Linked DNA regions of Sus scrofa. The protein of the gene in region 1 purifies or fractionates together with the protein of each later gene. This does not show direct contact. Links are inferred from orthologs where the notes say so. Each region holds a gene or a part of one and is shown on either strand. Other genes may lie near its edges. The genes, in order: SKP1, CRY2 and FBXO33.

What was found.
Region 2: the proteins of SKP1 (region 1) and CRY2 purify together in Homo sapiens (co-immunoprecipitation; 3 studies listed by BioGRID and IntAct, with this or other methods). This does not show direct contact. The link is inferred for Sus scrofa from reciprocal best matches to the Homo sapiens genes SKP1 and CRY2.
Region 3: the proteins of SKP1 (region 1) and FBXO33 purify together in Homo sapiens (affinity purification with mass spectrometry; 5 studies listed by BioGRID and IntAct, with this or other methods). This does not show direct contact. The link is inferred for Sus scrofa from reciprocal best matches to the Homo sapiens genes SKP1 and FBXO33.

Annotation. Positions count from the first base shown.
Region 1 is NC_010444.4:136,471,600-136,478,728, forward strand, and holds the start of SKP1 (S-phase kinase-associated protein 1), read right to left. Parts: upstream 4,766-7,129; 5' UTR 4,310-4,765; intron 1,589-4,309; coding exon 1,492-1,588; intron 1-1,491. UniProt on the Homo sapiens protein: Essential component of the SCF (SKP1-CUL1-F-box protein) ubiquitin ligase complex, which mediates the ubiquitination of proteins involved in cell cycle progression, signal transduction and transcription.
Region 2 is NC_010444.4:16,616,763-16,623,891, reverse strand, and holds the start of CRY2 (cryptochrome-2), read left to right. Parts: upstream 1-3,511; 5' UTR 3,512-3,570; coding exon 3,571-3,788; intron 3,789-7,129. UniProt on the Homo sapiens protein: Transcriptional repressor which forms a core component of the circadian clock.
Region 3 is NC_010443.5:169,910,712-169,917,840, reverse strand, and holds the start of FBXO33 (F-box only protein 33), read left to right. Parts: upstream 1-1,984; 5' UTR 1,985-2,241; coding exon 2,242-2,849; intron 2,850-7,129. UniProt on the Homo sapiens protein: Substrate recognition component of a SCF (SKP1-CUL1-F-box protein) E3 ubiquitin-protein ligase complex which mediates the ubiquitination and subsequent proteasomal degradation of target proteins. Probably recognizes and binds to phosphorylated target proteins.

The DNA.
Region 1 (7,129 bases):
AGCTCTGTTCTGGCGTGGCTGTGGCTGTGGTGTAGGCCAGCAGCTACAGCTCCTATTGGACCCCTAGCCTGGAAACCTCCTTATGCCGGCGGGTGCAGCCCTAAAAAGCAAGAAAAAAAAAACTTAAAAAATTACAGAAAGTTAGAAAAAGCAAAACCTGAATTTTCCACACACACAGGCAACTATTTACATAGCATTTACAATCTTTTTTTTTTCTGTCTTTTTGCCATTTCTTGGGCCACTCCCGCGGCATATGGAGGTTCCCAGGCTAGGGGTCCAATTAGAGCTGTAGCTGCTGGCCTACGCCAGAGCCACAGCAACACGGGATCCGAGTCGCGTCTGCAACCTACACCACAGTTCACGGCAACGCCGGACCGTTAACCCACTGAGCGAGGGAAGGGACCGAATTCGCAACCTCATGGTTCCTAGTCGGATTGTTAACCACTGAGCCACGACGGGAACTCCAGCATTTAGAGTCTTATGAGGTATAAGTAATCCAGAGATAAATTCAAGTATAAGGGAGGATTATGGAGATTATTTGCAAATATGGCATTTGGGATGTAGTATTTGGGATCAGGGATTTGAATACCCACGGATTTTGTATCCCGGAACCAATCCTATGCAGATATGGAGACAACAGTACCGAAGAACTTTTTTTTTTTGAGTTTTTTTAGACCCACAGCATTTGGAGGTGCCCAAGCCAGGGGTCAAATCAGAGCTACAGCTGCTGGCCTACACCACAGCCACAGCAATATGAGATCCTTAACCCACTGAGCAAGGCCAGGGATCAAACCCGCATCTTTGTGGATACTAGTCAGATTCATTTCCGCTGAGCCATGAGGGAAACTCCCCCAATAACTATTAAGTTTTTTTCCTCCAATTCTAGAAAGTGATTTGTGTGTCTCTATATACCATCAATGTTTACCAGCCTACAATAATTCTAGGAAATCTATGTTAACTAGTAAAAGTTTAAAATGTTTCAGGACCTATTTTCTTGCCTTAATTCTTTGATGTACTGCATATATGTTTTGCAGCAGTTTCAAAAGAATAGCCAAAAGGGAAAAAAGACATCTACTCAGTTTACAATCTACTCAGCTTACTCCCTCTGCTTAAACAAAGTGCTGCTCTACTTAGCTATCATATGTAAGGTATCTCTTTTCCAAAGGCTTTAGTTTGTGTCATTAGAAATTGTGAATCCAAACCTACTTGAAAGAGAAATGAGCCACTATCTGAGGCTTGAAAACCATTTCAATGTTAGCTTACGGTGTTACCTACTTAATAAAAGAAATTCAGACAATGTAGAAAAAAAAAAAAGACTTGTATCAGAAAAATGCAGTTAAACTTTGGAAGAAAAAAAGACACAAATTTTACCCTTCATACTCTTCAGCATTTTATGATGGATTTTTATGTCTATAGATTCGATGTTCACAGGTTATCTTAAGCTACATATTTCTTCCCTTTACCGTGACCCAGGTTTTCTAATTAACTTACCTTCCAACATGGTCTTGATAGTCACAGACTGTTTGGCAATTTCAACATCAACTTCAAATATCTCGCCATCGGAACTCTGCAACTTAATTGAAGGCATCTAAAAAAAGGTATTATATTGAATTTGAAATTTAAGAGATATTACTTCTACACTGCATTTCACCATTAAATGTCTAAGCCTTCTAACTTATTAACTACAAAATCTTAACGACCTGTAGTATAGTATAAAACACTGTAAATGATTATAAGGCAATTTTATACAAGTATTTCTATAAAATTTTTTCAAAAGTATATATAACTCCTAGGAACAGAAACTTTTAAGGCCTACCCTTCTGCACTCATTACTGGTATAAATTTTAAAACTCACACTTATATTTCTAATGCAAAATATATCTAAAATGCTTTTTTACTCTTTGCCTGCCTTTCTCCTTTCACCTGAGGGAGGTCAGTCCAAAATAAACAAAGCTACCAAATAAGATATTAATTTTCCCACAGTGAAACTTATCAGTAAAAAGTGAGTTCAGATCTAAAGAGTAGATTAGAATATACTTACTTATGTTTGGATGAAAGCAAGGCCATAGAGAAGAGAATGAAATATCTAAGGATAAGCAGATGTTGACCTAATGCCCTAAACCTATAGTTTCAGAGTCCTGTTTATCTTTCTTTACTGACTGTCTAGGCGTCCCAAGTTTGAGATCGAATGCCAAAATCCTCATAGTAATAACAGCCTTTTACTTGCCGCCAAAATGAATTTATTAACTCACACTGATTATGAGTCATTAGGAAAAAGACACTTCTTACATAAAAGTTAATTAAGCATTTAACTTCAAAGGACTTGAGTTTTGGCAAAAACAAAACAAAACCTCTTTAGAATTAAAAGTTCTAAGCTTCTAAGCCAGCAATTTCTTACCGTCTTCAGATTCTTGGGGGAGAGGCATGGGGGGTGGGCGGCAGCAACACCTGACTGTAAAAACTCAAGATCTCTTTAAGTTTCTGTAACAGGTTTTTAAAAGGCCCGTGCATCTGAGATGTTCGTAATAATACTCTGATATCACTCTAACTTAAAAATACAGAATTTGGCATTCAAAACACTGACTGCACCTATTTTAGGCCCCAACACTTAGGACCCGTTAAATCGGTTACAATATTCAGCTTTTCCCACACAACTGTCTCCATTCCCCAAAGAGACAAAGGTGTTAGGGCAAGGAAGCAAAAAGGTAAAGCTGTTTTAAAACCAGCCATTGAAATATCCAGCTCACACTCATCCATGGTTGCAGAGAATCAGATTTCACTTTTCAGTTCACAAATGTCTGCTTCTCCATATTACTCAGTGCCTGCCAATAATGCAGTTGTCCTGCTCCATGAAGAAACGCCCAGAGCAGAGGACCTTCCTTGCGACAAGGCAAAAGCAAAAGATATCCCCCTAAAGAAATACTTTAACATGAGCTCAATTTTAAATTACAAAACATTCTATGCTCTATGACTGTTCCACAACACTGGAGTGAACGTTATAAAATCACAAGTCTGGAAATGCAGTTGATAAAATTACTTTTAAGCAAGACGAACATTTCATATTTCAAATAACTTTTGATAAACAGCCATATCTGCTTAGTCACAGTCAAATTCGTGTATTAGGTTACTCTTAACTGAGATCTTACTAAATAAATAGCAGGGAAACAATCGGTTAATCTGTAATTCGATGCACTTTGTAAGCTAAACTTAATACTCAAAAAAAAATTTTTTTTAGCGTTATACAGCTGGAAATCAGAGCAAAACTTTTCTATAATTATCCATGAAACTTTGATGTGGTATGTTCTCCAGACCATTCCTTCAATTCCGTATGCGCCGGCACTTTTGAGTTAAATCACCCTCCAGGAGGAGGGGTCTATCAAACATCATAAAAGAAAAAAAACCTGTTTAAGTGACCCGAAGTTCTGACACTTCTTCTTATAGGGCAAAGTGAAATCTGCGTTGCTCTATGACACACAAACATTCTGCTGTGACGCTCTCATGAAAACATTCATGAGCCCAAACTCCAACCTTTAGTCTCCATTAAAAAGCAAACCAAAGCAGGTGAACATCCTATCCCTTCGAAAACCTCTTAGTAAGTTTACGGAGTTGGTGCACCTAAAAGCCAAACCACTGTGGCGATGGCACCTGCTACTCCAACAATTGCTTCAACAACCGCGGGCTGTGGCAAAATAATGGGCGACAAATATTCCGAAGGAGCAGGCAGCTCTCTGCCGAAATTCGGCTCCGGCGCAGTTAACCAGGACGAGTGACGCCAGACACAGGGGCGAGAAAGACTGAGAGCCAAGAATCCAGCTGCGGGACGACCCTACCACGCTTCCTCTGGGACACCCGAACAACAAACGGACAAACGCCCATGCTCACGACGACCCAGAGAAGTCCATTAAAAGCCCCGCCACCACCCTCGCCCTGGCTTCCCGGGGCCGATGGGCTCAACCGCCGAGGGAGGCCCCGGCCGCAGCCTGGGCCTGCAGCCTTGCTCCGCGACGGCTGAGGGTCGCCCCGCGCAGAGAAGGCCCAATCCCGGTTCCGCTCACACCTTCTCCCTCCCGCCCGCCTGGGCGCGGTGAAGACTAGCGGCTAAAAGAGGCCTCGGCAAGTCGAGGGGCGGTGTGGGAGGTGAATGGCACCTCCGGGAGAATGGGGTCGACGACGGCTTTCACCGGGCCTGAGGGAAGGCCAGGCCCAGGTGCCTGCCGTTTCGAGCAAGGCCAAAGCCGCAGCGGGGCGGCCCGCGGCTCGCAATCTGCGGCGCCACCGCCCCCTTTCAGCTCAGGCGGCGGGTACTCACGGTGTTTGGGCTCAAGGAGATGGCGGGCCGGAGGCTGACGAGAGAAGGGCGGTGTCCGCAACCGGAGAGACAGAAAAGCGACGCACAAGGCGACTTCAACCGAGTGGCGCGGCGTCGCCTTTATAGCAGCGGGCGCAGGCGCCGAGGACCCCGGGGCCCGTGACGTCACAGAGACGGCAGGGCTGGCCGCCGAGATCGCCTGACGGCAGGCGCAGACCGGCGGGGCGAGGCGCGGCGGGCCTTGAGTCTCACCCCTTCCCTCGAAAGCGGCGCTCACTCCCCTCAAAGCGGAAACGGGGGACTGGCTCAGATACTCCACGGCCTGCAAGGGTCTTTCAGGCGGGAGCTGGCCTAAGTCGAATTAAAGACCCCAGTCCCGAAAAGCCTAGAAACCTGGAGCGAGGGGCCGGGAGGGAGAGCGCGGGGAGTAGCGGGGAGAGAGGGGCGGAGTGGGGAGGGAGAGGCGTCTGTGTTAGGGGTGGTGTTTGGGAGGGGCTGCAGCTCCTTTTCATGATGGGGAAACTGGGACTCTGAGAAAGAAAGGGCGCTGATCTTTGCAGCCAGCGCTGTGAGATTTTGCTCAGGGCCTCAGTGTCCTCCCCTGAACCCTACATGAGTTAGCTCACTCTCCACAATAATGCATAAGAAGAAATATCAGGAGTTCCCCTCGTGGCTCAGTGGTTAACGAATCCGACTAGAAACCATGAGGTTTCGGGTTCGATCCCTGGCCTCGCTCAGTGGGTTAAGGATTTGGAGTGGCCATGAGCTGTGGTGTAGGTCACAGTCGCGACTCGGATCCCACGTTGTGGCTCTGGTGTAGGCCGGTGGCTACAGCTCCGATTCGACCCCTAGCCAGGGAACCTCCGTATGCCTTGGGTGCGGCCCTAGAAAGACAAAAAGACAAAAAAAAAAAAAGAAGAAGAAATACCATTACCCTTTTCTCTTTGACTTGTGAGGGAACAGGTTCAAAACGGTTCAGTGGCAGAGCAAGGATTGTTTGATACTCTCAACTCTGATTTCCTATCGACTTCTGAAGAGGCCTCCAATCCAAAGTAACCACTGTTTCAGGGAAACCCCAAGTTAGCAAAAGTGTATTGGGTGGGGGGAGGGCGAGGTGATGGGTGCTAGGAATTCGGCAGCGAACGAGGCAGCCAGAGTCCAGCCTGCAGAGAGCCCTTGTGTGGGATGCTCCCTAAAGGCTGTGTTAGGGTCCCTAAGATGAAACCAACCCTCAAGGGAAAGGGGTTAGTCTGCAAATTCCCACTCCCACCCTCTCCAGTCAGGGACTTTGACCTGCTCTACCCTGCTCTGTTTAGAGAACAATGCCACCCCTCTGGAGGAGACTAAGGCGCCAGGCTCACCTAACCAGCAGGCACGTGATGGTATTCCTGACGCCAAGGAGACAAAGGACACTTCCACACAGGGCCCCCTAAAGAAATCAGAAGCCTGCAGCTCTTCTGAGATGGGACTGGGCAGGGAGACCAAGCAGCTCCTTGGGTTACCAGGTCTTTGTCTCCAAGCTGTGGTATCCAGTGTCTGCCAGGTGCCACAGCTGATGTCGGGAAGATGAAAGGACCTACAGCTCTCAGACTTTTTCTCCACAAGCCTGCCCTGCCCTAAGCAGCTCCAGCTTCTGGTCTCTTAGTTAAGGCCCACTAGATCCCCTTTGCTCCCCTGCCTGTGGCATATAAGGGCCACCTTGTAGCCTAGTTGAGCATCCTAAGCAGGACTGGGCAGTGCCAGATTACACGTCTAGCTGGAGGATCTGGCACAGGGCCTGGCATTAGGAAGGTGTATGTTTTTTCCAAAATGTCTGGGGGCCCCTAATATTAGAATCACCGAGATATTCTTGGGTGGCTTTTTTTGGCTGCTTTTTCTTTTAATGGCTACACCTGCAGCATATGGAAGTTCCCAGGCTAGGGGTTGAATATGAGATACAGCTGAGGCCTTCGGCACAGCCACAGAAGTATTGGATCAGAGCTGCGTCTGCAACCTATGCTGCAACTTGCTGCAGTGCTGAATCCTTAACCCACTGAGTGAGACCAGGGATCAAACGGGCATCCTCATGGATACTAGTCATGCTCTTAACCTGCTGAGCCACAACGGGAACTGCCAGGATTCTAGTTTTTAAAATGCAGATTTCAGGAGTTCCCGTCGTGGCTTGGTGGTTAACAAATCCGACTAGAAACCATGAGGTTGCGGGTTTTATCCCTGGCCTTGCTCAGTGGATTAAGGATCCGGCGTTGCCGTGAGCTGTGGTGTAGGTTGCAGACGCGGCTCCGATCCTGCGTTGCTGTGGCTCTGGCGTAGGCCAGCAGCTACAGTTCCGATTTGACCCCTAGCCTGGGAACCTCCATATGCCGTGGGTGTGGCCCAAGAAATGGCAAAAAGACAATAAATAAATAAATAAATAAATAAATAAAATGCAGATTTCAAAAAAAGGAAGAAAATGCAGTTTTCATTTACTCATACAGCTGTTACATGCATAGATTATCTCAGGAAAGATACACAAGAAATTGTTTGCCTCAGGAGGAGAATTAGGTGACTGGAGAAGAGGGTTGGGGTGATTTTTCACTTTATACACTTTTCTATTTTTTCAATTTTGATCCATATGGATATATTACATATTTAAAAAATCTCTACAAAAAATTGACATTAGGTCAAGGAAAATGCAGATTCCTGGGTGCCCTCTTTTTTTTTTTTTTTTTTTTTTTTTTTTTTTTTTTTTTTTTGCTTTTCAGGGCCACACCCACAGCATATGGAAGTCCCCAGGCTAGGGTTTGAATCGGAGCTACATCTGCAGCCTACACCACAGCTCAC
Region 2 (7,129 bases), about 120 Mb from region 1:
TTAAGAAAGTGGGGAACAGGAGTTCCCATCATGGCGTAGCGGAAAGGAATCCGGCTAGGAACTATGAGGCTGTGGGTTCGATCCCCATCCTCTCTCAGTGGGTTAAGGATCTGGCGTTGCCATGAGCTGTCGTGTAGGTCACAAATGCGGTTCAGATCCAGCATTGCTATGGCTGTGGCTCTGGCTGTGGTGTAGGCTGGTGGCTACAGCTCTGATTCGATCGCTAGCCTGGGAATCTCCATATGCTGCAAGTGCAGCCCTAAAAAAGAAAAGCAAAAAAAAAAAAAAAAAAAAAAAAAAGTGGGAAACAGAGAGCTCAATTAGTTTATCCAAGGTCACACAGGTAAAAGCAGGACCAGACTTTGAACACAGCCACTCCAAATATGCAAGACCTTAGGCTTAATCATTATACCACACTGCCGCTCAAAATAGCCTAATAAGATAGAAAGAGATAAATGACAACCATTCAGCAAATATTTATTAAGCATCTACTACATGTCAGGTACCAAACTAGGGGCTGGGAATACACTGATGAGCAAGATAAACACAGTCTCTGCCCTCATGGAGTTCAAGGTCTATAGAGAAAGCATCATGGGCATTCAGAGAAGAAAAAGAGAATATGCATCTTTGAGGTTGTAAGGAAGAACCATCTCCTTCCACTCTCTGTTCCATTCCCAGTGATAGGGATGGAGTAGGCTAGTTACACAGGTAGTTGTCGAAGTCCCATAGGGGACCGCAGATAGAGAGGGAAACCTAGGGGACTTTGGGAGACCACTGTTAGTTAATCATCGCTCAAGAAAGCCGTCAGAACACCATGGAACAAAGCAGGCTTGCTTCACGATAAAACATACATACAAACATGTGATATGGCTCCAAAACCATACATACAAATATGTGATATGGCTCCAGTCATTAAGTGAAAGATAAAATGAGGTCCGCGTTCAAGTTCAGCAAGCTCATGATCCGTAGGACCAAGGACAGGAATTTAAGGGAAAGATGAGATTTCAAAGCAGGAGACCCTCATTATGCAGAAACCAGAGATGATTCAACATATTTTAGCATCTGTTACCACCCTTCTGCTGATGTGAAGAAAAATCAGCACCATGAAAGTCCTCGTGTGACCTCATAGGGTCAAACACTCTCTTACCCAATAGGAAGGAGGAGCTATGACGTAAGCCTGACGTCTACCTGAAGAATGAGGAAGAAGCGCATTTCCCCTCTCCCTCCACTTTCCTTGGATTATAAAAATATAGCCCATCTAATCCTCGGGGCTGAGCCTCCTCACCTGCCCACTTGTATCCCTCACAAGTGTCCTATCTCAATAAAGCTATTTCTTACCTATCCATTTGTCTCACAGAAATCCTTCTGCACTGAGGCACAAAGAACCTGAGTCTCACTAAGTCTAGATACCAGGTCAGTGGTTCTAATTTTTTTTGAAAAAGTGGGTTCAAGTTCCAATCTGGGTTTAGGCTGGATTCCAGTCAGAGGTGTTTGGGTTTCTTTTGGAGAGAGTATTCAAAACTAAGAACAGGATCAGGACTGAGATAGGCCATTAAAGTTCCTGCCAACCTGAGATTCTAGCCCCTGTTCAATTTTTACCCAAATGATCCTTGAACATTAAGGGTCAAGCACTGAGCTAGACCCTGGAAATACAGCTGTAGACAAGCCACAGTCCTAGCCCTCCAGGGTGTTTTAATCTAATGAGGCAGACAGACAGATAAGAAATTCCACTACCATACATTAAGGTCAGTGTTAATAAGAAGCAGTTCCCTGGTGGCTGAGCGGGTAAGATCTGGCGTCACTGGTGTGGCTCTGGTTATTGCTGTGGCGTGGGTTTGACCCCTGGCCTGGGAACTTCCGTATAAACAAAAATAATTTTAAGAAATTAAGAAGCACAGAATGAGATGGGGCACTATGAAGGCTGGGAGCAGACAGCAAGTGACATCTACACTGAGCAGTGACATAGGACAAACTGAAGTTAGAAGGTGTGTGGGGGGGGTGTTCAGGGTGTGATCCAGGTTGGAGGGAACAGTTTGTGCAAAGCCCTGGCAATGAGAGCGCCTAGGATTGTAACAACACTGTGGTTTAGACAGTTGTGCCAATTAGTGCCACTCACTTGCGGATTAAATTGCTAACTTCCTTCATTGCTCATTCCCAAATTCAGGAAGGGTGCCACCTAGAGCCAAATTGAGACGGCCTCTCCATTTGATAATGCCAAAGCTCCAGGCTAGCTTAGCCCACCATCAACACATCAGTGGGGGTGTTTACAGGCTTCTCCTATCATTCACTCATTCAGTCAATCAGCAAGCCCTGTGCTCGACTCCAGAAGAGGGCTCCACCTGGCTCTCTTGGGGACGCGTGGGGAATATCCTCCACATCTCTGAACCCCACACAGACTCCAGTTCAGTCCTTTACACTCAGAGTTACCCCTAAGTCTATGACAGAACTAAAAGAAAAATTCATGTGATGGCTTTTTTTTTTCCCTCTTGCTTTTTAGAGCATATCTGCAGAGTTTGGAGGTTCCCAGGCTAGGAGCTGAATCGGATCTACTGCTAGCCACAGCAACTCAGGATCTGAGCCGCGTCTGCAGCCTACATCACAGTTCACAGCAACACCAGATCTTAACCCACTGAGCAAGCCCAGGGATCAAACCCTCATCCTCTTGGATACTAGTCGGGTTCATTACCGCTGAGCCACAAACTGGGAATTCCAATGATGACCTAATTACAATCTCAACCCACATTCTCCACAATTCCAGTCCCTAATCCCAACCCCTCTACTGCAGCACATCAGGGCCCACACTTTGGACTCTACTACTTGTAAATGCCAAGTTGCTCAACGCTGACAGAGGTGTAGTATTGTGGATAAAAGCAGAAACTTCAGATTCTGAATAATCCTGGTAGAAGTATTAGCTGTATGATATTGAGCATGTTACTCAACCTGCAGCAGCCTCGGTTTTCTTTGTCGGTAAAATGAAAACAGCTCTTTCACTAGGGTTTGTTGAAAGAATGCAACTCGTCTGAGTTTACAGCAGTAAAGGAGACAGCAGCGTAAGGGTATTATCACGTTGGTTGGCATCTAATGGAAGCTGTATTAGAATGCTGTAATGATGTATGTATAGAGTGTGGTAGATGATTATATTGATGACGAAGATGATGTAGGACAGCCGGTGGTCTGTCCTTTTAAGTCATTTGCTGGAGTCACAGCAACCCTCGCCAGCCCACACAGCTTCCAGCGCCAGGCCCTAAAAAAGGAAGCTGAGCTCCGCCGTTCCTCGGACTTGGTCCACGCCCAGACCTCCTTGGGGACCGCCAGCCTGCGTCACTAGCCCAGCCCTCCGGCTCCTCCCGGCAGGGCCCACACATGGTGGGAACGTGAGGAGGCGGGGCCAGACATGGTGCCTCTAACCAATCGCCCGGCAGGAGGCGCCCAGCCAATAGCAGAGGCGCTCCAGGGCCTGAGGGCGGGGCTCCAAAGAGTAGCGGCGCGTCATAGGTCACTGGGCCAGCTGGGGGCCGGGCTCGCGGCGCCGACGGGGGCGGAGCGGCCGCAGTCAGAGCAGTCCAGGCAATGATGGCGGCGGCTGTGGCGACCGCTGCGGCGTCCTCCCCGGCTCCCGCTGCCGGCGCGGAAGGCGCCTCTTCGGTGCACTGGTTCCGCAAGGGGCTGCGGCTCCACGACAACCCGGCGCTGCTGGCGGCGGTTCGCGGGGCGCACTGCGTGCGCTGTGTTTACATCCTCGACCCTTGGTTCGCGGCCTCCTCTTCAGTCGGGATCAACCGGTGGAGGTGAGGGGGCCCCGGGCGGGTTTGCGGGTCCGGGGAGCGCAGTCTAGCCTCTGAGGCACGTACCCTAAGAGGGGGGAGGCTCTGGCCCCAGTCCCCTCTGCTGAAAGCCCCCGACCTGAAAGAGATGGGGCAGGGAGGCGCAGCTGAGTCTCCAGTGGGGAGAAGCCGCGACGTGGGTAGCAATTAGTCCCATAGTTAGGGCTTGGGTGGGCCAGGGCTCAACCTCTGGCACGGCGCGTTCTCACTGTGTTATCCCTTTTGGTCCTCACGACGTCCCCGTGAAACAAAAATCATGATCCTCATTGTACCGATGAGACTCTGGAGTCTTAGAGATACAAAGTTGACCTGCCCAAGGACTTGCAGCCGGCGAGTGGCAGAACAGGGACTCCTGGTCTAGGGTTCTTAGGGTTGTGCTCAGGGAGGGGAGGACGGGAGCTATTGCGGTATGAGGGCCGGGACAGGTTTCTGAAATAGCACGGCAGACACCTGCATTCTTCAAGAGCGCTCCTGAAGGTCGTCTTAAGCTTAAGCCTCTGGTTTGTGTGAATTCATTTTTTCACCTATCCTGTCTTCCTTCCACCAAGATCATCCAGTCTCTGGAGGTGTCTAGAGACTCTGACTTAGCATTAGGTAGGGCAGGTGCCTTTGCTCCTTTATTGTAAATAAAAGAACATGCTCTCAAGGGCACGTTCATTGAGAGGCACTCTGTGTCCTGGGCTAGAGAGCAGACAGCAGTACTTAACCTATTTTGGAGAATTCCCTCAGCAGCTATGGGCTTGCTAAGGAAAAAAGCAGGAGGGGGGAGGAAGAAGAAAAAGAAACAAAGAGTCCCTTACTTCCTCCTCTTCTCTTGAGATTGATTTTAAAGGACAGTTGAGCCTGTAGATTAGACTCTTGTCAGCTGATGTGCTAAGATTTGGGAGCAGGCAAGCTGTGATACCAAGGGGCCCTCTTTGATGACTCCCAGGATCATGGGAAAAGTTTAACAGGTAGTTGATGTGTTTTCTCCATAACCAGTGTTTAAAACAAAGGTGTTCTGAGACATTGTGTACCCGTCTCTCTTTAACAAGTCTGGCAGTCGTCCTCTAGTTTGTTTGCATTGTTCTGGAGGTGTTTGCTTGTGGCCTTGTTGCACTGAGGGGCAGAGTTATTCCCAGGATACGCTGGCTCCCCATTCTTTCCTCTCCAAGGTGTGTGCCCTGCTAGGAGAGTGAGTGCTTCTAGCAGTGGGTCTATTAAATGCCCCCCTCCTGCCCCATTTATATGGAGGGAACAGCTAAAGATAGTTCTGTGGAGAGCCTGCCCACACAGTTTTCAGTCTGCTCTATTACTCGGCCCTTGCTCCAGTTTCTCTAGATAGGAGGTTGGGCTGACAAACATCCTCAAATGACCAGCCATCCCTAGTGTGGACTTAGCTTGGACTAAGCCTCAGACTTTGCCCCTCTCCTGATGGCAGTGTGCCAGTCAGAGCAGAGTAATTAGACTCCAGACTACTTGTTTGTTACATTGTCAAGGAGTTTCTTCTTTTATGGGATTTGAGGAATGTGGCATAAAATTGCCTGTTCCTTTGCAGTAGTGGAGATTAAAAATCAACAACAGGTGGTCCCATTGTGGCTCGGTGGTTAAGGATCCCTGGCTTCGCTCAGTGGGTTGAGGATCCAGCATTGCCGTCAGCTGTGGTGTAGGTCACAGATGCGGCTCGGATCTGGCATTGCTGTGGCTATGGCTTAGGCTGGCAGTTACAGCTCCTATTTGACCCCTAGCCTGGGAACCTCCAAATGCCGCAAGCGTGGCCCTAAAAAGACAAAAAAAAAAAAACCAACAACAAAACCTCTGTTGCTTATTAAACTCAGATTCTCTAGAAACTAGGTATTTAGAGATTTTTGTGGGTCACCCTTTTGTAATTGTGCTGTTGAGTGAGTAAAAGAAAAAGAATGTGGCAGCTCAGATGCCTATATCAAATCCTGAAGTCAGAGGCTGTGTAGGAATGCAGATGTTAATTGAGCGTTTAATGAGCACCTAATATCTGCCAGGCACTACTCTAGGGGCTGCTAGGAGCACAGCAGGGAACAAGCAGATGTGTCCAGAGCTCCTGGAGCTTACATTTTCATGTAGGAAGACAAGCAAACAGCTATAACTTGGTAGAACTAAGTGCTGTGAAATAAATAAAATCGGGGACAGACTGTAGCAATGGGTGTCAACCTTGCCACGCGTGAGAATCATTTAAGTATCTTTAAAAGATGGCTGGGCCCACTTCTCTCCCAATTCTGATTTCATTGACTTGGGTACTAGGGTCTTTAAAGCTGTCATGTGCAGCAAAGCCAGAGAAGTGGACCACAGAGTCCGGCAACTTGGGATATGTGTTGCAGTGCATTGGCAGGAAGTCTGATTGGTTTTGGTATCAGAAGAAAGAGGTGAAATAACACAAAGCAGATTGAATACAATAAATGCTCCTGGGCCTGGGCACAGACACACACCTACCACCGCCTCTATACTCTTTGCTCTCAGAATCAGAGTGAGGGCATACCTGCAGACTGTTTATTTTTAGAGCTGCACCCTAGGCATATGGAGGTTCCCAGACTAGGGGTCGAATTGGAGCTGTTGCTACCAGCCTACGCCACAGCCACAGCAACGCCAGATCCTTAACCCACTGATCGAGGCCGGGGATCAAACCCACAACCTCATGATTCCTAGTTGTATTCATTTCTGCTGCACCACGATGGGAGCTCCTCCAGATTTGCAGACTGTTTAATGCACTCGGTTGGGGGTTGGTAGGAGTGATGGAGCCAGCTCTACCTCTGGGTTAACTACGATATGTGCAGTCTTCCTGTTTCTGGATCTGGAAGTGATCTAGGAGAATTGTGCTGCAGCGTAACGTCCTAGCTCTGCAAATACTTCAGTTGCTGCCTCTGAGAAGCCTCCCTCAGAAGAGTGGGCCCTGGGCCATCTGGAAGGGTGGGGGGAATCAGAATCTGTATCTCTGTTATCCTCCTCATTTCCTGTACTGACTCCCACACAGCGTTTTTCAGCAGATGAATCAGATTAAAATAACCATGAATGGCACTTTCTAAGAGTAAAAGTGGACAGAGAAAGGCGACCAAGAATATGTATGTGTATTAGCATAGGAGAAGGGCTAGCATACTCCTTGCGTTGGTGGTAGTGGGAACTTTATAAGCTAATCGTAGTGATAGGAACCTCAGGACTTTTTTTGGTCAAGTGCTAGTTAGCTAATCCCTTTGCCATTTTCCCCAGCTCTACCCTCCCAAAATTTACTGCATCTGAAAGGAAGTATTGCAGTGAGAACAAAAAAATGGAAAAGAGGGGAGGGGGTTTCGAGCTAC
Region 3 (7,129 bases), on another chromosome or scaffold:
CTAATCAGAGAGACCCCAAAAATGAGTGCTGGGAAGAGGGTGACTATTCTAGATTAAAAGAAGCTTTAAATACAAACTAAAACAAGTGTGGCCCTTACTTGGATCCTGATTTGGATATTAGTTGGGATCCTTACTGCTGAGCCTCGAAGGGGAACTTCCTTTTTTTTGGGGGGGGGGTTGTCTTTTTAGAGCAGCATCCATGGCATATATAAGTTCCAGCCTAGGGGTCAAATCGGAGCTGTAGCTGCCGGCCTATGCAACCGGATCTTGGTTTGGATAAAACATCTATAACAAACATTTGGAAAATAACTAGATAAACTTGAAGATGGGTTATTAGACAACAGAAGTTTTTCAAGTGTGATAGTTTTGTTATGTAATAATACGCTTTTAAAGAGATGCACACTTAATTACTATTAAGTGGGAAATCTAGATGTCCATGGGTCACTCAAAATATTTCAATGATGGAGATCCCATGGAGGTGCAGCAGAAACGAATCCCACTAGGAACCATGAGGTTGCCGGTTCCATCCCTGGCCTCGCTCAGTGGGTTAAGGATCCAGGGCTGCCGTGAGCTGTGGTGTAGGCCGGCAGCTACAGCTCCAACTGGACCCCTAGCCTGGGAACCTCCATATGCCGCGGGTGCGGGCCTAAAAAGACAAGCCCCCCCCCCAAAAAATGAATGCTTTTAAAAAATAAAAAATTTAAATCCAAGCCTCAACTTCCTAATTCACTGCTGTTTCCATTAATGCTCATTAATCCATTCATAAGATATAATAATAACTGCATAGAAAAATCTCTTACAGACAAGAGGTTCAGAGAAGTGACCTACCATGAATGATAGCTTCCCCCCCCCCACAGGTACCGAAATGAAGATAACTGAGGTACCAACACAATATTATTGGTAACGGGCCTGTGCTAGGCATCAAAAGGCATGGAAGCATTATGAATGGAGAGTTTTGCCCTCAGAGGGCTAAAAATATCCAGGAGAACAGCTTCTGAGAGTTAGCCACAAATAAACACGGCTGTTCCAAGACCCTAGTTAAGGCTTTGAAGCGGCAGCCTCATTAAAGCGATCCTCAATTATTACATAAAATCGCTTATTTCTTTCTGACTTCACTGCTCCTTACAGTCAGTTAACTAACTACTTCCCGAGTTGTGATAAAGTTAGGACACTCTTTCGAAAAATCCCTCCCTCAAAAACCGGGCGCCGAGCTAAAGAAAACCTTTACCATAACAACAAACTTCTTTACAATTAGAGCCCCCAAACCTGGAACTCAGTCTCCCTCAATCTCTGGATAAGAGACTAATTATCAACCAACAGATCTAACCCATTTGCCCTTTTTTTTTCTCTTCTCCCTCAAAATCCAAAGGGTGGCGCTGTCCTCACTCCTTCCCCTCGCACCCAGGTGTGCGCTACTGTCCACTCCGAGGTCTGACCACGAGGGAAGGTCCGCTTGCGGCCTGTGTCCAGCCTCCCCTCCCCGCGCTTCTCCTCTCCTCACCCAGCCCCTCGGGTTAGCCCGCGAGGGCGCCGGTCCTGCTGCCTTAGCGGCTTTTTCTCAGAAACTCCCAACAATTCTCTGCGGGGGAGGGGGGAGGGGAGGTTAGGCTGAAAAAGACCCAAGCCGGCACTTTGGCTCTGAGTCCTCAGCCCAGCAACAGGAAAACGTATAATGAGAAGCGTCACCGCCCGCTTACGCTAACGCGAGTTCCGCCACTTACACTGCCTGAGCGCCCCAGTTAACCGACTTACAAACAAGACGGGACTCGGCGGTCTCTGTGAGACGGGAGGGGGCGCCCAACACCGGCACCACCAGCGCTTCCCCACCCCCGTCCCGACAGCCTGCGTGCGTCAGGAGTCACGTGCCGCGTCTCCCTTTCCTACCGGCAACCGGGCGCTCCCTTCTTCCGGAAGTAGCTCCGGATCACGCCGGGCTCCTCCCACCACTGGTGACGTCAAACTCAGGTCCTACCACTGCTCTGCCTCCGCCTCCAGGCGCGGGGAGGGCTGCCGTTTCCTTACAATTAGTCCTGCCGCTTCCGGGCCCCTAACCAGTAAAAGCAAGGATTTTGAAGTTCCTGAGTGTGTAGGCCTCGGACGCGCGTGAGTAAAGTTTGAGAGGCCACAGGCTGGCTGTCTGGAGGCCAACCCCGCAGAGGCCTTTCCCCCTCTCCGCAACTTGTGCTGTACTTGGTTCCGCCGAGACCTACGACGGTTCCGCCCCCTTCTTCCTTGTCATTGATGTTGTTGTTCTTGTCAGTGCCGCAGCCCCGACCACCGGGAGCCGGAACCCGAGCAGGGGCCGCCCGGGTGGCGCGGTGGCGGCGGCGGCGGCTGCGGCTGCAGCAGCTGCGACGGCTGCGGGGGCTGCTCCGGGGATTGCGGAGGCGGCCGGGGACCGGCAGCCGGCGGCGGGGCCGGATGGCTCTGTGCGGGCAGGCGGCAGGCGCTGCGTCGCTGCCCAGCGAGCTGATCGTGCACATCTTCTCCTTCCTGTCCGCCTCCGACCGGCTACGGGCCTCGGCCTCCTGCTCGCACTGGCGCGAGTGCCTCTTCTATCCTGCTCTCTGGCCCCAGCTCCGCATCTGCCTCCGCGTCTCGCCTGCGGAGCAGCCACGGCTCGAATTCCTCATGCGCAAGTGCGGCTGGTTCGTGCGAGAGCTGCGCGTTGAGTTCGCCGCGGAGAATTACCTGAGCGGCGGCGGCGGCCCGGGCGATGGAGGCAGCGCCGACACCGGGACTGGCGGGGAAGAAGTCGAAGCCCTGCAGCTCTCATCCCGTTGGCTAGAAGTGTTGCGCACCTACTTAGAGCTGGTGCTGTGCGTGCTGGTCAGCATCCGGAACAACAGGTAGGCTCGTCGTGGACCCTGCATTCATCCTCTTCTCCCGCTTCCTCCTCTCCCGGGGAGCAGGATGGCCTTCTTCCTCTCACCTCAAAATAGATTCTGTGCGGATACTCCCGGCCCGCTTCAGCGTTGCTTTTTTCAGTGATTAGGGGTTTCAGTTTTAATCCAGCGATTTCCTTGAGGCGGGAGGGCATAACGGGATTATCGTAATACTTTATAAACAGTGATGGATTTGGTGTTTATCAGACAGCATTCCTGGCACCTTCCAAGCCCTGTCTCATTCGTACTTTCGTTGGCAATGGGATGGAGTTCATTTTACAGATGAGAGCTGAAGCTTGGAGGGTGAGGCCTGTGAGTGAGTCTTGGGAGAAACAAAATCCTACCTGATTTTTTCAGTTCTGAATCTATCCATTCAAAATAGTTCGTGGTGGGGAAGGACTAGCTATGCTACTGGTTTCTCATAGTTACTAGACTGTACCCCCCCAAAAAATCTTTGACAGCCATTTTCTTACTGGGAATAGTTTTGATTAACTAGGCCAGGCATGAAGAGTAGGAGTGTTTGTTAAAAGGATTGGGGAACAGCCTGATAATGAAGATTGGGAAGTCCCTCCCCTTTGCACCTCCAGACTCAACTTATCCCTAGTTATTCACCTAAAAGTAGCACAGTATATATAGCTTGGTGTTTGCATGAGTTGGGGGAACTGGCCTGTGTCTATAAAGAGTAAGCCCTTAGCGGCCTAGTTTTTCATTAGAATTCTACTGTAATTCTGAGACTAACTTGATATGTTCTGACCCATTGTCCTAATCAATATTTTCCATTATTTGTCTATCACCGTCTCCAAAATACTGTTAATTTAGATGTTCTGTATCTGGGTATTCTAACTTTATAATTAAAGTATGAGTTAGAAGAAAATTCAAAAGTTCTAAGAAGGAGCAACTTACATAATAATAATTTAGTAGTTTGTGAGTACTTTCACATTCACTATCTTATTTGCTCCTTTCAATGACCCTGTGAGTTAGTCAGGATAGCTATTATTATCCCTATTTTATAGAAAAGAAACTGATGCATAACAGGGTCAATTTGTCAAATGATGTACACATTGTATACAGCATTGTTTTTCTCTAAGCAGTGGTCTTTCTTTCGCGGTAGTTACATTATGTTGAACAGGATGGAACTAAGGTCCGGGTTTAATGCTAAGTGAGATATATATATATACACATATTCTTAATTATGTTTCTGATTCAGAAGGGTAGGAGATAAGCATATGGCTCCAGACTGTATCTGGAGCATGGCTTCATCATTCCAGTGGGCTGTGTATTTTCCCAGCTTTTCACATCAAGCCATTATTTTCCTTACTTTCATTTTATGTGGCAAGAGAGGCTGTTTAAGGCTATAAATTGGTCTTGATCAGGTTGGAGACTCTTTGTCAGAGCTGAGTGATGGCTAGAGGCCCAAATGACCCAGAAGTTAGAGAGATTGATTCAGTGAGCAGTTACTGCTGAGGAGGGTGTCCAGGGAGGATGAATTCAGCAAGTATCAATTAGATTTTTTGAGATCAGATAGTTCCAAGCAATCATCTTAAAAATGTGTGCCTTTTGTCCAAGTAAGAACACGCCTTTCAAAGTGCATGTTCCTTTTAAGTGTTTTAATAACTGGTTGATTGGATGGATGAGGTTATGCAGGCAAAATAGTGGTATCTAACATCTTGGCTTTGTTGTTTAACTCTTCTCTCCTCCCCCTCCTCACCCCTACCACTTTTTTTCAGCTGTAATTGAGGTTTAATTTGCAAATAAAAGTGTGCCCATTTTTTTATTAGCATCCCGATCTACTTTTCTGTAAGGCTGCCATATAAATAATCTTTATATGCTTAGAAATAAGTTAATCTCAGCTTTATTTTTGAAAATGTCTTGAGAGTGTCTAGTAATGCTGGAAGTATTAATGTGGATGTTAAAAACATAAATGAAACTGGTTTTCTTTAAACAAATTTGAAAATGTTTTAAACCAAGTTGTTTAATAAGAGAAATCAACATTTAATATTGTTCTTTACATTTCTAAGCTAAATTTACAGTGGTTTGTTTTTTTTTTTTTGATTTTTGATTTTTACCATTTTATAAGTTGAAAGGGGGGATATGAAACCTACCAAGTCACAAGCTTTAGGCTTCGAGGCTTTGTGTTGAATTCCTTTAAATAATTCATACAGTTCAGAGCGTTATTATGTTGTGTTCCAGTTATTTTCATGTCTCTGAGGGAAAGAACTAAAACCATAACCTTGAATCATGGGACCTTTTCAAGGATACTGTTCGGAGAGGATAATTGACATTTTATTTTGCTTGATTCCTGGGTTTCATATGCACTTGTACTCTGAGAGTGGCTATAGCCACTTTATTTCAGGTGTTAGGAAGAACCAATGAGTATCAAAGAGATACAGAAATGCCTCTCAGAGGGTAAAATACAGTCCTCTAGCTTCTGATCTCCCTTCTCTACAGGTTTCTAGGATATTTACCTTCCTGACCAACAGTGAGAACAGAAATACAATAAGTACTCAATCAATTGTATTATAGGTTAAATTGGCTGAATTTCTTCTATAATGGTTCTAGAAGAAATTGTACTTAGAAGTTCAGAAACAACAAATTTATATATGCATTTTTAGGATTTAACCTAGTTGTCAAGTTGAGTGCTGCCTATTAAAATGCCATATATTAGACTCCTTAAGAAAAACGAGAGTTCATGGACAATTAGATTTACAATAAGAGCTAATAGACTCAGTCATTAAAAATAGTTAAACAGTAGACATAAGTAACATTGTCGTCATTTGGTTTATGCTTTCCTGGACTATATAAATATTTTGTTTTTTGAGGTAAAATGCTAAATTGAGAGCAGTACTTTTTTAAAAAGATGCAGGGCAGAGCTATTTTGTATCAGAGTGATTTTCTTGTTAAAATTCTGTGTATGTAGATTGACCAGTTTTATGACTGTGCCTACTTAAACACCCTCTAAGTAGTAGGAGGCATGTTAATAATTCTTAGATTTGATCTGCTGATTTGGCGCTGGTAGTGAAAGAATCTCACCTTTGTATTTTCTGAACATCGGTCTACCGAGAAGCAACAACCGATAAGGCAATTTGAAAAGACATCTTAAAATAGATTAAAAATTCTTTAGACATTTCATAGTACTGTCTAAGAAGGTAAGAAATGACCTGAAAATATTATCTCCAACCTTAGTGAGCCTTATTTTTCCCTATCAAAGGTAATAAATACATGTGACAATATCTCACTTTTGAGAGCTTTTATTTTTTGCTTTAAAAAGTTTACTTACATGGAGTTCCTGTTGTGGTGCAATGGAAACAAATACGATTAGTATCCATGAGGATATAGGTTTGATCGTGGGCCTCACTCAGTGGATCAGGAATCTAGCATTGCCTTGAACTGTAGTGTAGGTCACAGACATGGCTTGGATCCTGCGTTGCTGTGGCTGTGGCATAGACCAGCAGCTATAGCTCCAGTTTGACTCCTAGCCTGGGAATCTTCAAATGCCGCAGGTGCAACCCTGAAAAGAAGGAAAAAAAAAAAGCTCACTTACAGAATACATGTATTAAAATATATTGGGACTCCCAGAGTCTCCTGGTGGCCTAGCAGTTAAAGATCCAGCGTTGTCACTACTGTGGCCCCAGGTCACTACTGTGAGTCGGGTTCCATCCCTGGCCAGGGAACTTCCACATGCCGCAGGCATGGCCAAATAAATAAATAAAATATATTGGTACTCTGACCAGTCCACACTGCCGAAGAGATGGCTGCCTTACAAAAGAGATACCAGACCAGACTCCTGGTCTTAAAACTGACAAATTAAAATGGCTCCATAGGGATAGCTTCAAGGTCATTGAAAAGAAAGGAGACTAACCTGCTGAAGAAACTGCTCTCCTGGGATGGCTATTGAGAGGAAGGAATTAGGACTCTCTCTCGTCCATAGGTACATTCTTACAGTGACTGAGAATTGATAGAAAAAGGTTAGGAGATAAGAGTCAACAAAAGATTATTAAAGTAAAATATTTTTTCTGTATTAAAAAGAAGCTGTGAAGCAGCTTATTAGTGAAGGGATGAAATTATTTTCATTTTAGTGTTATTTCTGAGGCAGCCTTGAAAAAGTTCACTCAGCTTGATAAATTTGTATATGACCTAAGATGATAATCATACAAAATCTGGGGTTTTTTCTTCCAAATGTTGAGAGCATACTATGTGCCAACCTCCGTGTTCCCATGGATTCAACATTCCAGAGGGAGAAGACA